2 linked regions of the Rattus norvegicus genome follow. The protein of the gene in region 2 interacts with the protein of the main gene of each other region in a pairwise test. Links are inferred from orthologs where the notes say so. Each region holds a gene or a part of one and is shown on either strand. Other genes may lie near its edges.

Evidence for each region. The genes of interacting proteins can lie anywhere in the genome.
Region 1: the proteins of Morf4l2 (region 2) and Mrgbp interact in binary tests that used the Homo sapiens proteins (3 or more experiments, as listed by UniProt). The two-hybrid records come from large-scale screens. The link is inferred for Rattus norvegicus from reciprocal best matches to the Homo sapiens genes MORF4L2 and MRGBP.

Annotation. Positions count from the first base shown.
Region 1 is NC_086021.1:188,071,508-188,078,468, reverse strand, and holds Mrgbp (MRG/MORF4L-binding protein), read right to left. Parts: upstream 3,715-6,961; 5' UTR 3,689-3,714; coding exon 3,541-3,688; intron 3,124-3,540; coding exon 3,002-3,123; intron 2,158-3,001; coding exon 2,076-2,157; coding exon of another isoform or gene 1,767-2,075; coding exon 1,692-1,766; coding exon of another isoform or gene 1,471-1,691; exon of another isoform or gene 1,308-1,470; coding exon 1,120-1,307; 3' UTR 307-1,119; downstream 1-306.
Region 2 is NC_086039.1:104,881,347-104,888,330, forward strand, and holds the start of Morf4l2 (mortality factor 4-like protein 2), read right to left. Parts: upstream 4,601-6,984; 5' UTR 4,531-4,600; intron 3,856-4,530; exon of another isoform or gene 3,696-3,855; intron 2,766-3,695; exon of another isoform or gene 2,313-2,765; intron 2,203-2,312; exon of another isoform or gene 2,015-2,202; intron 706-2,014; 5' UTR 616-705; intron 1-615. UniProt on the Homo sapiens protein: Component of the NuA4 histone acetyltransferase complex which is involved in transcriptional activation of select genes principally by acetylation of nucleosomal histone H4 and H2A.

The DNA of each region.
Region 1 (6,961 bases), on a different chromosome or scaffold from region 2:
GATGGCAGGGGGGCGGTTTCAGTCACAGGCAGTAGTCAAGATGGTCTGACATTTCACTGTGCTCATCCACCCAACAGCTGGACTTGGCTATGGAGGATAATAGGTAGCGGCCAGGTAGGCAGGAGTTGGGGGTGGGTGTCCTAAGAGTCTCTGATGAAGGCTCATAACCTTACTGCATCCAGCGATGCCAAGAAGTCATCTTAAGTGTACCCTATGGTTATGAGTTCTAGAGTGGGGGACCCTTTCCTCTGTAGGAAGAATTTAAAAACCAACTTGTTTTAGTAGCAAATCACACAACTCCCAAGATAGTTTTTTAATGCTTTAATATCCTGCAAATGAAAATGTGCTTCAGCCATCAGGCCACTGGCTTTTCAGCCTGATGGCTGTTCCTTTGTTCCACCCCCTTATTTGGTCTTTTCCAAGTTACTAAAATTACAAAAATAACCGCTAAAAATTCTCTGTATCTGGCATATAAAAACAGCCAGACGTATCTCAGTAGTTACCTTAAAACAAAACAGCTCAAAAAAACACATCACAGGTTTAACTTCTGCAGTATTTTTCTTCATACAAAACACTAGTAAAATAGGCTTCTTAAAAATTAAATAGTGAAATACCAACTAAATTATATACACTATTACAGTACAAGTGAATGAGGCAAAATATCCAGTTCTATTTCCCAGATGGGGGAGGCCTTCTGTGCACAGTGTGTGCTGTGTGAACTCCAAAGACACCTTCTCTGGATGCCAGTGCACAATGGAGTCTTACAGGAAAAGCAGATGCAAAGACTGGGCACCCAGGGAGGATGCCTGGCTCCTGAGGACAGTGAGGGTGACGTCTTATTGCTTGCTGACTCTTGGTCCTCTGGCCCACGCACCTGCTCTTCTCCACACACTGTGGGCATAAGGGAACTGACCAGGAGAAAGCAAGAGGCTGGCTCAGAGGCTTCACCATCCAGCAGAGTGGACACCGGTCTTGCTGGCCTTTTGGACCAATCAAGTGCTCTGGAGGTCTGATGACACAGCGGAAGCCCCACTAGCATCTCTGCTGGATGGCCACATTCACCCAGGGACCTGAGGACAGGCAGCTGGAGCATCTCTTGGCCACCTGGGGCTGAGGTGTCTATGTGCGGCGCCTCTTGGCAGCACTGGGGCTGGAGGGATTGCTGTTGGCAGTCAGGACCTTGTCAGTGACCCGGCTGCGCTTCCGCTTGTCTGCCCCTTCTTTGCACCCCAAGTCTGAGGAGTTCTTCTCTTTGTCTTTGCTGGATTTTTCTAATGCTTTCCCCAAGCTCCCTGAAGATGAAAAAACTGGGAAACAAAATCATTTGGCTGAAAACAGAATATCCAGAAACTCATCTCATTTTCCTCTTCAGCTAGAGAAACCAGGCGTTCGGACCCAGTATGTTCCCCGGGTAAGTGCCCTGTACAGCTGGGCTCGAAGAGAAACCGAGTCTCTCAGGGGGTCTCCTGTCTAAGCCCACCCAATGCCCCCAGCCTTGGCCTCGGCCCCTTCCTCATGGCTCTCAGAGGCCCCCAGCCTTGGCCTCGGCCCCTTCCTCATGGCTCTCAGAGGCCCTCCCACACTGAGTTCATCTGAAAGGGATGCTTCGCTCCTGACTCTCAGCTTCCTGACCTCACTCTGCCTGAGGCTGGCCCGTGGTGGTGACGGCTCCAGAAGGCACTTCCACTCACCGTCATCAGCCCCACTGTGGGGGTCCACATCCTCCTTCATCTCCTCCTTCATTTCTTCTTCAATGACCACTTTTCCTGTGGAGGAGACAGCTGCCGTTCACTGGAAACCCACGGTGGTGGCCAGCGCTGGGGGACGGTCTGGCCAGGACTGCTTCCGACTCTCGCTGCCCACACAGGCCTCGGCGTCCATCGTAAGACGGCATCCATCAGGAGACTGCCTTTGAGCACCGCTCGCCCCAGCCCTCGGCTCCCCAAACCTCCCAGGCGCCACTGGAGGCGTGGTCTGAGCAGGGTCCTTACACCTCCCTGGAGGCCCCAGACCTCCCCACCTTTGGCCTGGTGAGGCTTTTTTTATTCCCAGCCCTGGTGGTGGCTGAGTCTCACCTTCTCGGACTTCCTGAATGATCTCATCGGGAAGGACAAAGTTCCTCTCTGGATTTGGGAATGGCAGAATCTCAGACTCGTGCTGCCGGCACAAAGCGTTTTGTATTTTCAAGAAACAGAAAACAGGGTCTCCGCTCACTAAGCTGTACGGAGGAGCAGGCTGGAGGCTGCGAGCTGGTGGGGCTCCTTGCTCCAGCTTGCAGAGTCCACCTCAGCTGGGCTTCTCAGATGACTAGGGAGGGCCAGGCTAGCACCAGCCAAACCAAACCAGAGGAGAGGACCAGGTTCATGCCACCGAGAGAGCCCTGGAGTCATAGCAGCTCCCCTGATGTGCTCACAAGGACCTGACCTGTTCACCATTGTAACACTCCCACCAGGACAATGTATCCAGGGGCGCCATGACCAACCACAGGCCCCTACAGCCCCACCCATCCTGGTTACGTAGTCTCACTGCCTGCCAGACACTGCAGACAAACCTGACTAGCAAGGTTACTAGTTACCTACACACGAGTCAGACACTGCCAGCTCTCCAAACCAGTTACCTAGCTACCCTCTCTGCTCTCAGAAGAGGAACAGTCTAGCTCCCACAGTATACAGATTCTCAAAGGACCCCAATACCGACACTGCACCCTATTACTGCCTTTTACGGTGGCTGAGGCTTCTCTATCATCTCAGCGCCCAACTATCTCCTTGACACTTTGTGCCACCAATCTAAAGTAGGTGTCCTGAGAAAGTGGTTAGTGAATCCCTAGTTTGTGCTTTTCAAGGCAGGATTGAGGAAGGAGCCTCATCTTTTGAGATCTTTGCATACCAAACCCCAAGTGAGAAGAGGGCTCTGTCCTGTACCACAGAGGACTCTGGGAAGGCAGCATCCGGGACTTGACTCCACCTTCAGCCCCCAAATGAGTGGGCCAGGGTCCACTCACCAGTGCCTGCATGTCGTACATAGTGCTCAAATGGTCCCAGATCACCTTGGATGGAACCTGGCGCCCAATATTCTGGCTGAACTTGTCTCGGATACAAATCATGTGGAAGTGTCGATTCACCCCTGAGAGGCAGGACAGTGGGTTGAGGGTTAGGATAGCACCTCTGTGCAGAGGACATGGGTGTAGGAGGGGCAGGAGTGTGCAAACCACAGGTGCAAGTGTTGCAGGAGTCAAGTGTCAAAGGGGACGAAGGGTGCCACAAGGCAGGTGGTTAGGGTGTATAGTAGGCGGGTCCTGGGCAGAGGGGCTGCAGAGGCGGGGAGAATGGAGGCGTTCCCTGGGGTAGGACTGTCTCAAGGGCAGGGAAGTCAGGAGTGTCCCCTGGGAGAGGGCTTCTCGGGAAGGAAAGTCATGGTCTCTTGGACTAACAGGGCACCCCAGAGTGGGAGGTCCCGCCCGTGCGGGGTCGCAGGCTCCGCCAGCCCGCCCGACGGTTTATCCCGCCCCACCCCCACGCCGGTGCGCGGCGCGGCGCTCACCGACAGGCTTGTGGCCCAGCATGGCGTGGAAGAGGCACACTTCCACTTCAGGGCTCCACACCACCGTCTCCTCAGCAGGGCTCGGGGCTGCCTCGCCTGGGCCCTTATCGCCTGGGGCGCCCGTGCCGCCTACCTCGGCCTCCCCCATGGCCGCCGGCGAGCGACGAGCGCCCGGCGCGAGAAAGGCTACTACAGGCTCCGCGCAGGCGCACTTGGTGTGGAGGGCGCGCACTCGCAGGGCTCGGGAACGCCGCGTGCCCGGGTCCGCGCAGGCGCAACGAAGGCTGGCTTCCGGTGCAGCAGCGACTCCTGGTGGTTGGCCCTTTTACTGCCTACGACTCTGTCCCGAGAGGAGCAGGAACAAACCTCATGCTTTAAAAATGCACCAGCTGGGCCTTCAGAGAGGGAGAGGCGAGCGGATCTCTCTGAGTTCTGAGTCAGCCAATTCGGCATAGCATGACACACACGGCCCAAAAAAAATCTGGGCTTCACCTGAGTAGATAACTTGGAAAAGACTCAGGCTGCACAGCTAGAAGTGTGTCTCCCTTTGCCAGTGATAAATTGTGCAGTATGTAAATTACACATCACGAAAACTGTTTAAGAAAAAATAGCTAAAAAACAACAAACAAACAAACAAAAAACCCAGGGGCTAGTGAGATGGTCCGTCCATAGAGATTCTTGTGCACAGACTTGGTAACTGGAGCTCCACCCCTGGATCCTAGAGGGGGCAGGAGAGAAGCAATTCTTAAGAGTTCTACTCTAGGGCTGGAGAGATGGCTTGGCAGAATGATAACTGCTCTTTCAGAGGTCCTGAGTTCAATTCCCCGCAACCACATGGTGGCTCACGACCATCTAGACCATCTATAATGGAATCTGATGCCCTCTTCTGGTGTGTCTGAAGATAGCTACAGTGTATTCATATAAATAAGTTTTTTTTTAAGTTGTATCTAACCTTTATATGTATACCATGGTATACTCACACTTTTGCACGCATGCGCGCGCGCGCGCGCACGCACGCGCACACACACACACACACACACACACACACACACCATAATTAAAGACTTTAAAACCCAACAACCACATTTAGTAGCCCTGGCCTGGGTGCAAATGACAGTTTCAGAATTAAGTGCTTCATTGGCATCAAAAGACAGAAACCTGGGCCCTGTTGGCCTTACCACCCCCATCTTGTCCCTACAGTGGAGGCTGTCAGAATTTCAGGCAGGTGTTAGTATCTCTACATGGGATTGGGTAGGGTCAAGTGCTAGGCACAGCAGCCTTAAGAACATGGTCCCTACTGGTCTGAGTCACCCCAGTCAGCTGTACCATGACCCCTACCCTGCCACCCATCCAAGCTTTTTTACTCACCTGACCCTCAGCCACGGGCAGGCATCAGAATCCCTTTCCTGACTGATGTCTCTCAGCTGTGTGACTAAGATGTCAAGAACCTTTGTAAGACCACGTTCTTCTCTGTGCTATGGGGCCACTGTAGCTCTGAACTCTGGGGTATTGATAAGAGCCATCTGCTGGCTACCGCAAGCTTTGAATCCAGTCCTGGCCCTCCACTTGCCCCTCACTCAGGCCTGCAACCAGATAATGCTCACAACAGGGGACTGTGGAGGGTTTCCCTTGTGTAACCCTCAGCCTCATCCATTCTAGCCAGTTCTCTCTGTTCTGTGTGACCTCTGTACACGGCAGTTTGCAAACATCTGTCCGTCATTTCAGAGATCTCTTGGGAACGTGTGGCTGGCAATCAGACTTGATCCCTATGGACAGGTTAGATGGTATAGGAGAGAAGAATGGCTTCATTCTTTCCACGAAGCCACAGCCCGTTTCTCTGCCAGGTAATAGGAAGTGTCTGAGCACGGAGGTCAGGAGCTAAGACTCTGCTCACTATCTCATGCCAACTGTAGCATGACACTGTTCATTTTCACGAGCATGTAGGCTCTACAGTCCAAACCCACGAATTAAGAGGAAGCTGTGCTTGTTCATTTTGTAGCTCTCCTGCGACTGTCGCTCTCTAACAAGGAGCTGTAGAGAAACCACTGGCCCATGATCATGTGTGTGCTCCTGCAGCTTCAAACTGAATTCACACCTGCTGGGAGCTGAGAGATTCCTTCAAACCTGACAGAAGGGTTTCTTTGGCCTGGGGCAGGTGTCTGTGAGGCACACCACCAACTTGTTGTAGAAGTCGCTGGTGACGTTTACTCAGATCTGTCTTCTCTGTGAGGTCTTCAGGTTGGTTCCAGGCGGCCAGGATAGGATTGGCTTCGCAGCAAGGTTTCCTACTTCCCAGATACAAAGTGGACAGTGATATCCAGTAGCCAACTGGTCAACTCTTTCCTCATTTGCTGGGACTTCTGCTGCATGAGTCTTTTATACAAGATGGATACGAGTGCTAGGATTCTTGATCCCAGGGTGAAGAGTTCAGACTGGGCCCCAGTGAAAAGTAAAGGCTCTAGAAAGGCTGTCCCTCATTTAACGGATACACAAGCCTTATCGTTTACTTTGGCCAGTATGAACTATTCCCCAGACATTCTCAACCAACTGATATTTCTTTTTATTTACTCAGTTGCTTATTCAGGGTCTTATGTATCCCAGGTTGGCCTCAAACTCACTCTGTAGCCAAAGATTACCTTGAACTCCCATCCCCAGTCCTCCACCTCCTAAGTGCTTGGATAACAGGTATCTGCTAGTACATATGCTGGGGACTGAACCCAGGACTTCATACATGCTAGGGAAGAGCCCTACCAACTGAGGTGCGTCTCCGGCCTCCTAAACAGTATTGCTTGTCTGAGGACCTGATGTCTCGGGAAGGAGATGGTCACTACTAACTAGAAGGAGCCCATTCCCACTCCGGAAGGAACATTTAGCTCTTGGTCACAAGAACTGGATCCAATGGGAGGCGTATTTGTAAAGGCTCTGGTTAGGTGCCATCCTGAGACCTTTGGTCACATTGTCTCTTTGCAGACTGCATCTCTGAAGTGGTGAAATTTCCCACAGTGTGACTGGCCCCACGTTGCTCCCTTAGCACGTGTGGGAGACCGAGGGCTCTGGACAACAAGTTCTGCTTTGGAGTCAGTCAGCCTGCTGTGGATCCTGTTCAACTGTGTTCACCCGATGGGAACAGGCCATCCTCCGGACAACATCCGAACACCGAGAACAGCTCTGCTGTCTTCTCCTGTGGGCTGTGGAGCATTAGAAACTGGGAGCCTAGAACTAAGCAGCTGTCAGGCAGGACCCTTGGGTTTCCAATTCAGGTACAGTATTTCCCTACAAGGATTGCGGCTAGGTTGGACACCCATGCCCTGACTAACATAGCTTAGCTCCACCCCCTCTGCCTTCCTGTTTATGGTAAGTTGGTGTGATTAAGGACCTAGGTGATTATCTCCATTTTCCTTAAGGCTGCTTGTTGTCTTCT
Region 2 (6,984 bases):
GCTGGATATGGTAGCTAAAATTATAGTTCTTGGAAATTCCCTTGGAAGTAAATATCCTTAAACCTTTTTTAGGTTGATTGGAAAAGCCAGAAGTCTTAATTTCAGAATTCAGTTCTAGTAGTTAATGGCTGCTTCTGGAAAAATGAAAGAAACCAACAATATTAATTAAAAAAATAATTCCAAGAAAATTATATTCATTACTTTACAAAAATGTGCTTACATACATACATAAAATGTTTCATGAGTATTAAAGCCAAATTAAGTATTACTATAGAAAATACTTAAATACTTTTATGAGGACATTTTGGAACAAAGGAAGTTTTTTTTGCTCATGATTACACAGAAAGTGGCAGAGCCAGTAATCAAATCCATCAAGTCCATATTTGTTCTCAAGAAAAATAATGTAATATTTGAATCTGTGAAGCCTTCACATAGCACTAATTTTTAATGAAGAGACTAGGATTACACATGCCTATATTGTTTATTCTTCCCCTTTCAGAATATAGCATACTTTCTCAGATGGCAGCTTATTAATCTTCAAAATATTCCTACACATCTAAAAATGTTATGTGATGTAGCTGGTTTGTGAAACGAGGCCAGAAGGAAGGCACTTACCCTGTATTCTGCAACCAGGAATGGTTCTGCAACCAGGGTCAGATCTCCTGATCCTTACTGTATAGCAAACTTAGCTTTTCTGATGATGACCTAGAAGGTCAAACAAAGAGATGGAAAAGGACAAAAAAAATATGAGATGGTGATTTTCTTTTCCATCAGTAAATACAATTTTATCTCACACAAAGAGCATCAAAGCTAATAATGTACAAATTTTATTTTCTTGTGGTTTTATTTTCAAATAAATGTACTTTATTGCATGTTTATCAATTTTAGAAAAAAAATAACTAATTTCTATTAAGGATAATGTGAAATAAAAAAATTGTAAAAGAAGAGCAGTACAAGCGGATGCGAATCCATCATCCAGCTCCAACAATTACCAACTGAAGGCCATCTTGTTTCATCTGTAACCCCACCCACTGCTCCCCCCCACACGTTTTTTTAAGCTATCGAAAAAAATGACTTCAGAATTCAGAAAAATTTCAAATATATACCATGGGAAAAAGACAAATACAAGAAACCCCATCTGCCCACCCCTCAGTTTAAACAATTATTAATCTAGGGTCCCAATTATACCCCTCCCATCTCTCTCTCTACCGCTGAAATTATTCTGAAGCAAATCCTAGTCATCCACGTATTTTGAAGCCATTTTGACATTATTTAATCCCTAAGCATTTATATTTATTTCCACAAAATAGAGCAATCTAAAAACACAACCACATCGTCACCATAAGCTTCTAAAAAATAATCTGGCACTGATTTCATTGAAGAATATTAATCCTGCATTTAAAAATTCCCGATGCGTCTTAAAGAAAATTTTACAATTGGTTTGCTCGAATTAGGATTCAAACAAGGCCTACTCCTCGCATGTGCTTCATAAGTAGCTCGTTTTCGTTCGCGTCCCCCTACCTTTCTCTTTTTGACTTAATGTGGGAAAATTCCGACCCCCAGCCATTCTGAGGTAATTCTGGGCTATCAAATTATTTTATTGGTAAGGCTTAATAAATGCCTATCGTCATAATTTCTTCGAAGAAAGAGGATGATGTACAGAAAAAGATATGATATCAAGCAAATTTGCGTCATTTAAAATTTTTCTTCCTCAGAAATATCTATCTTTAGTAACAATTGTTCCTGTCTTTCGGAGACAGGCTTCACGTCGAATGCCTTACACGCACTATTTTACTAGGCACATCTGAATCCGCGACCGAGATAGCTACTATTATCACCATTTTACAAACATGGAAACCGAGACACAGAAAGGAGCCTTGCCCAAGTTGGGCGTTGGCGAGCAGGAATACGCATCCAGTTTTGCTTGAATGTGAAGGCACTAGTTAATCCTATCTACAAGTCAAGAAGGAAAGAGGAAATCATCGACCCTTCCTCCCCACCCCCACCCCGAAACCTGAAACGAGAATCCAGTTCTTTCCAGCAGCCGACGTGTGACCACCGCTGCTCCTCCAACCGCCATAGTAAAGCCAGGTTTCTCTGGCAACTGATATCCATAGGCAGACACGTCACCCTGGAGGCGGGCTTAGCCCTTCAGCCAATCCTAGCCATCTTGTCTAAGTTTTAGAATGTTCCATACCCAAATGATTGGACCACCGCCCCCACGTCAGCAGTGACACTCCGCCGCAGTAAAGGCGGGTGCTAGCAACCTGCTTCTTCATGGTTAGGGCCCAAATCAAACCAATGAGCGTCCTTCTTCAGTGCGGGCTCCGACCAATGACGGTCGCCCTTTTAGGTTCTTAGCCCGCCCTCCAAGTGCGCTACAGCCGTTGGGTCAGAAGTCTATAGGGCAGCGTGTTCACGTGGCCCGTTTTCACGACCCAGAGTTCCCCTGGCCGTGGGTTTTTTTTTTTTCCCCCACCTTCTTTCCCTCGCGCTCTCCTTCTCTCCTGCAGGGAGGCATTATGGGTTTGTGGGTCCGTTCCCCCTCCCCCGCCCCCGCACCACAGGGAAAGGAAGTGCCGACGTGGCCTGCGGAAATAGGATAGGCGGAAATGAGCTAAGGTTCCCGGGAGTGGGAAGAGCGAGGTCAAACCAGCGCCACGCCCCCGAGCCTGTTGCGCAACCCTCAGAACGGGAGAAAAAAAAAAAACCCAACCAAACCAAAAGGAAAAATGAAGGTTTTGAGGTGTATGCGTGTGAGGGTGGTGAGTGCCATCGGGCGGATGCCCGGATGCCTTGAGAACTGGGGTGTATGCGCGCGGGCACGCTCGCGTGGCTGTGGAGTGTGGGTGTGGGCGAACAGCCGCCCTCGTGGCGCCGGGGATGATGGGTGTGCGCAGGCGTGCAAGCTCTCGCGGTGGCGGGAGGGGCCCTGAGAGTGTGTGTAGGTGAGGTCCCTCATTTTGGTGCATTTCTGCCTTTTGATGTTTGCAAACTGCATTAATAAATAAGACCCAAGAAAGTACTAGTACAGAGGTAAAGGCCTTTTGTTAGAAAAGCCTGCTGATTTAATTTAATCCCCCCTTTTTATCTTTCTTTGCTCGCTCTTTCTTTTTTATTTTATTTTATTTTATTTTCTTTATTTATGAGGCCTGTTCTAGCTACGTAGGCTTGGCAGGCCTGGAACACAAGAGACCCACCTGTCTCTTCACGGCCTCCCGTGCGCTGGCATTGAAAGCATCGGCCACCCCACCCAGTCTGATTTAATTTTAGACCCTAAAGATGCTTATTATTCCCACAATTTAGTCCAACAAAATAAACTTCTTCCATGGTGAGCATTCAAAACTATATTAGTAACGTAAAAGGGCGTTTCTTTTAAGTTTCCAAGTGTACACCCCGCCCTCTCTGTCTCCAAGGCCTCACCTTTGCCCCTCACCAAGATTACTGAGAACCTCCCTTTTGCCCCCCACCAAGTTTATTGCTAAATTGGTAGAAATAATTCTAACGAAAACAAAGACAATTAAATTCCCCAGGGGTTGGGGATTTAGCTCAGTGGTAGAGCGCTTGCCTAGGAAGCGCAAGGCCCTGGGTTCGGTCCCCAGCTCCGGAAAAAAAAAAAAAAGAACCAAAAAAAAAAAAAATTCCCCAGTGATACAGACTATGCCAATTTCCCGTGGATGCTAAGCCTCACCTACCTTTTGTCCTAATCTCCAAGCGTAGCGATCCAATATACATTCGGTCAGTTTTCCAGAAAGTTCATTGGATGAGCATTATACCTCTTGAATCTGCCACTAGATGTCACCAAATCCCAGCAAAGGATTTACTGCTGGGTTCCCAGGGATTGTGAGATTTAATTTTTTGCTCCACCCACTTCTTACAGGATCCGTAATCTCTGGATGACTCATATATATATATATATATATATATATATATATATATATATAAAATTCTTAAGAATAAAATCAAGTTCTGTGAAGTAATAATACTAGGCAAGGAATTACATATCTGAATATTTTGGTTAATTTCCTTAAAGAGAAAAAGTCATCTGTTCTTCTTGCATTTCTTTCTCCCTTGCCTTTTGATTTTACTCAGGATTGATACATGGGCCTAAATTCTGATGCTAAAACCCTTTGTGAGCTGTATGAGCACTTGAGCAGAAGGAGGGCCCTAGATTAAAGGCCGCATAGATTATATATTGAGACCCTGTCTCTGCATAAATAAATCCATGAAAGAATATTCTTTTTGCTTTTTGCCCGCTTTTCAGTACTTAACAATTCCTCTAGTCAGTCTGTAAAGGTAACTCGGAGGTAAAGTTAGACCTCAGCATTGCGGATTATCTTCCTCTTCAAACTTATCAGGTATGGGTGTTTACACCCCAATTTTATGTGATGGTTCTGTGCCCTCCTAAGCAAGTAGGTAGAAGCTTAGTATACCAAAAATTCTATTTTATCATGGCGAGAGTCATCACACAACACTCTTGGTTCTTAACTACAGTTTTCCCAAGGGAGCTCACGTTTGTGACGCCCTTACCTGAAGATCAGGCCTAGTCTCCGATGCAGGAGCCCGAGGAGACTCTCTGGCTGCAGGGCAGCTCAAGGTGTGTCTCCAGGTGTGCAGCAAAAGACCGATGCGCTCGATCTTCCTGCTTATATACTCGCTGTGTAGCGGGCGTCATGGGATTCTTGTCCTGTGTCTGGTTATCTTAGTGACTGATGTCATTGGGGGCTGGTTATCAGGTACAGCCTTGGGTGTCCTGGACCTCCTCCTGACTAAGCTGTTTTTGTAAGACAAAGGGCATTTCTTTTTACTATTCTCATTACATTCCGAAAAACTCGGTTGTGTTTTTAGAGTCAGATAGGAAATAGTAAAACATTTCACTTAGGTTTCAGAGCGCATAATAACATAGCCCTGAGGTGTGTGTGGTTTTTTTTAATTTATGTACCTGTGTGGCCTGTGCATTTTGGGGCTAAAGTTCACCTTTCTTTACGTCTTTTCCTCTATTGCTGTTCGCCTTATTTTTTTACAGAAGGGTCTGAGTAAACTCGGAGTTACTCTATGTGCTATTCTGGCTTGTCACTGAACTCCCAGGATCTGCCTGTCTCTACCAACAGCCCCCCTTAAAACACTGGGGTTATAGATCAGTGCCCTGTGTTCAGCTTTTATATATATGCTGGGGAACTGAACTTAGGCCCTCCTGTTTGAGCAGCAGACATTTACCCCTCCCCGGACATCTCCCCAGTCAGACCATCGATTTTTTTTTTAATATTTTCTATATTTCAGATGTATTAAATTCCTTCCCATAGGTATTTCTTTTTCTTAACAGAATTGTACTACATTATAATCAGCCAAAAATAGGTTTCAGGCACTAATTATATGTATTTATCCACCCGAGGGTGAAGGTTTTTTAAAAGATTTTAATTTTACTGTTTTTAATTAGGTATTTCTACACATGTGTATGTGTTCAGAAGTCAGAGGCACTGGATCCTCCGGAGCTGGGATTACTGGCTGTTCTGAGACACCTGACATGGATGCTGGGAACCTAACTCGGGTCTTCTGGTAGAGCAGCAAGTGGTCTTAATGGCTGAGCCACGTCTTCAGCTGCAAAGGGGAAAGGTTTTTTAGAGCGGTTCTCCAAAAATCAGAAGCATCAGTAAAACTCGGTAAGTTATCAGAATATTAGATTCATAGGCCCTGCTTTATGTCTCACAAATCAAAGGTTTTCTGGATGGAGCTTGGCCATCCACTACAAATTGTTCTAGTAAATCCAATGCACTCTAAAATTGGAGAACCACTGCTTTGGAGGGCTACAATTCAACACTCGTTTTTGGACACCACTAGAGGGTGCCATAGAACGTGTAGCAAAATATTTTGCGATATACCCTGCATTGTATCTGTCTTGTTTTGCTGATTAAGAAATTGCACATTAAGTGTCACCATTAGTATTCCTCTTTCAGAGTCTGAAACTATACGTTATATATTGTTTCCCACTTTGACTACTGTTGACTGAACCATTAAAAACACCATTAGGAAAGCAAATCAAATATGGAAAAATAGCTTGATGCTTTTCATATGTTGTCTCTTCTCCATTCTGTAATAGGGCATCACACAAAAGCTCAGGAGTAGTCTCTTTATTTCTTATCTCTCAGTGCTCTTTCTATTCTGTAGTTACCATTTTTTGGTGCATGTCATATGTTTTATGTATGATAAACACAGTTTTGAAAACTCATTTATGAGTTACTCTATTGCTTTATACACTCTAGTCCCACTAATAACTTATAGCTTATATATAGCTTATATACACTAAGTTATAGCTTATAACTTAGGTGACTGCATCATTTTATAGTGGTGACAGCGAGTTCTTACTAGAATAACTTACCAGTTATTTTCATTCATATGTAATTTACAAGTAATAAATGAATACTTTTACTGAATTACTAGATCATTCATGGCATTTGGGATTCTAGTATTGAGCTTTCAAGTTCTCTGGTTTACATCCTATTTAAGTGATTTTTCTTATTTTTTTATTTGTGAGATATTGATGCTTTTGATCCAAGAGGAAATGTGGAAAAGTTTCTCTGTTCTATTTTGACCAGTTTTCAACCTGACACCAGACATGTACTCTTCAGGCTCCCTCCTCTAAGCCATTCCAGTGGCAGGATTTTGGCTCATTGAGCACTGTTAGTACCAATTCAAGGAATTCAACCTTGAGTGAGGCTGACCAAGTACTATGACACACCACATTGTGGTGCTGTGTAGAATAACTATGTGCTTGAAAACAGAAGTGTTTCAGATTTCAAAGTTAAAATTTAAATTATTTCTTAAAACAAGTTCTCCTAAATTTTCTAAACTTTAGTGTCACCACCTATTACATGGAAACAAACATTTCATGTTCTTATCAGCCACCCTGTATAATACAGTATCCAGCTAACATATATGGCTATTTAAGTTAAAATTCATTAGGATAAAAAAATCGGTGCAGTTGGT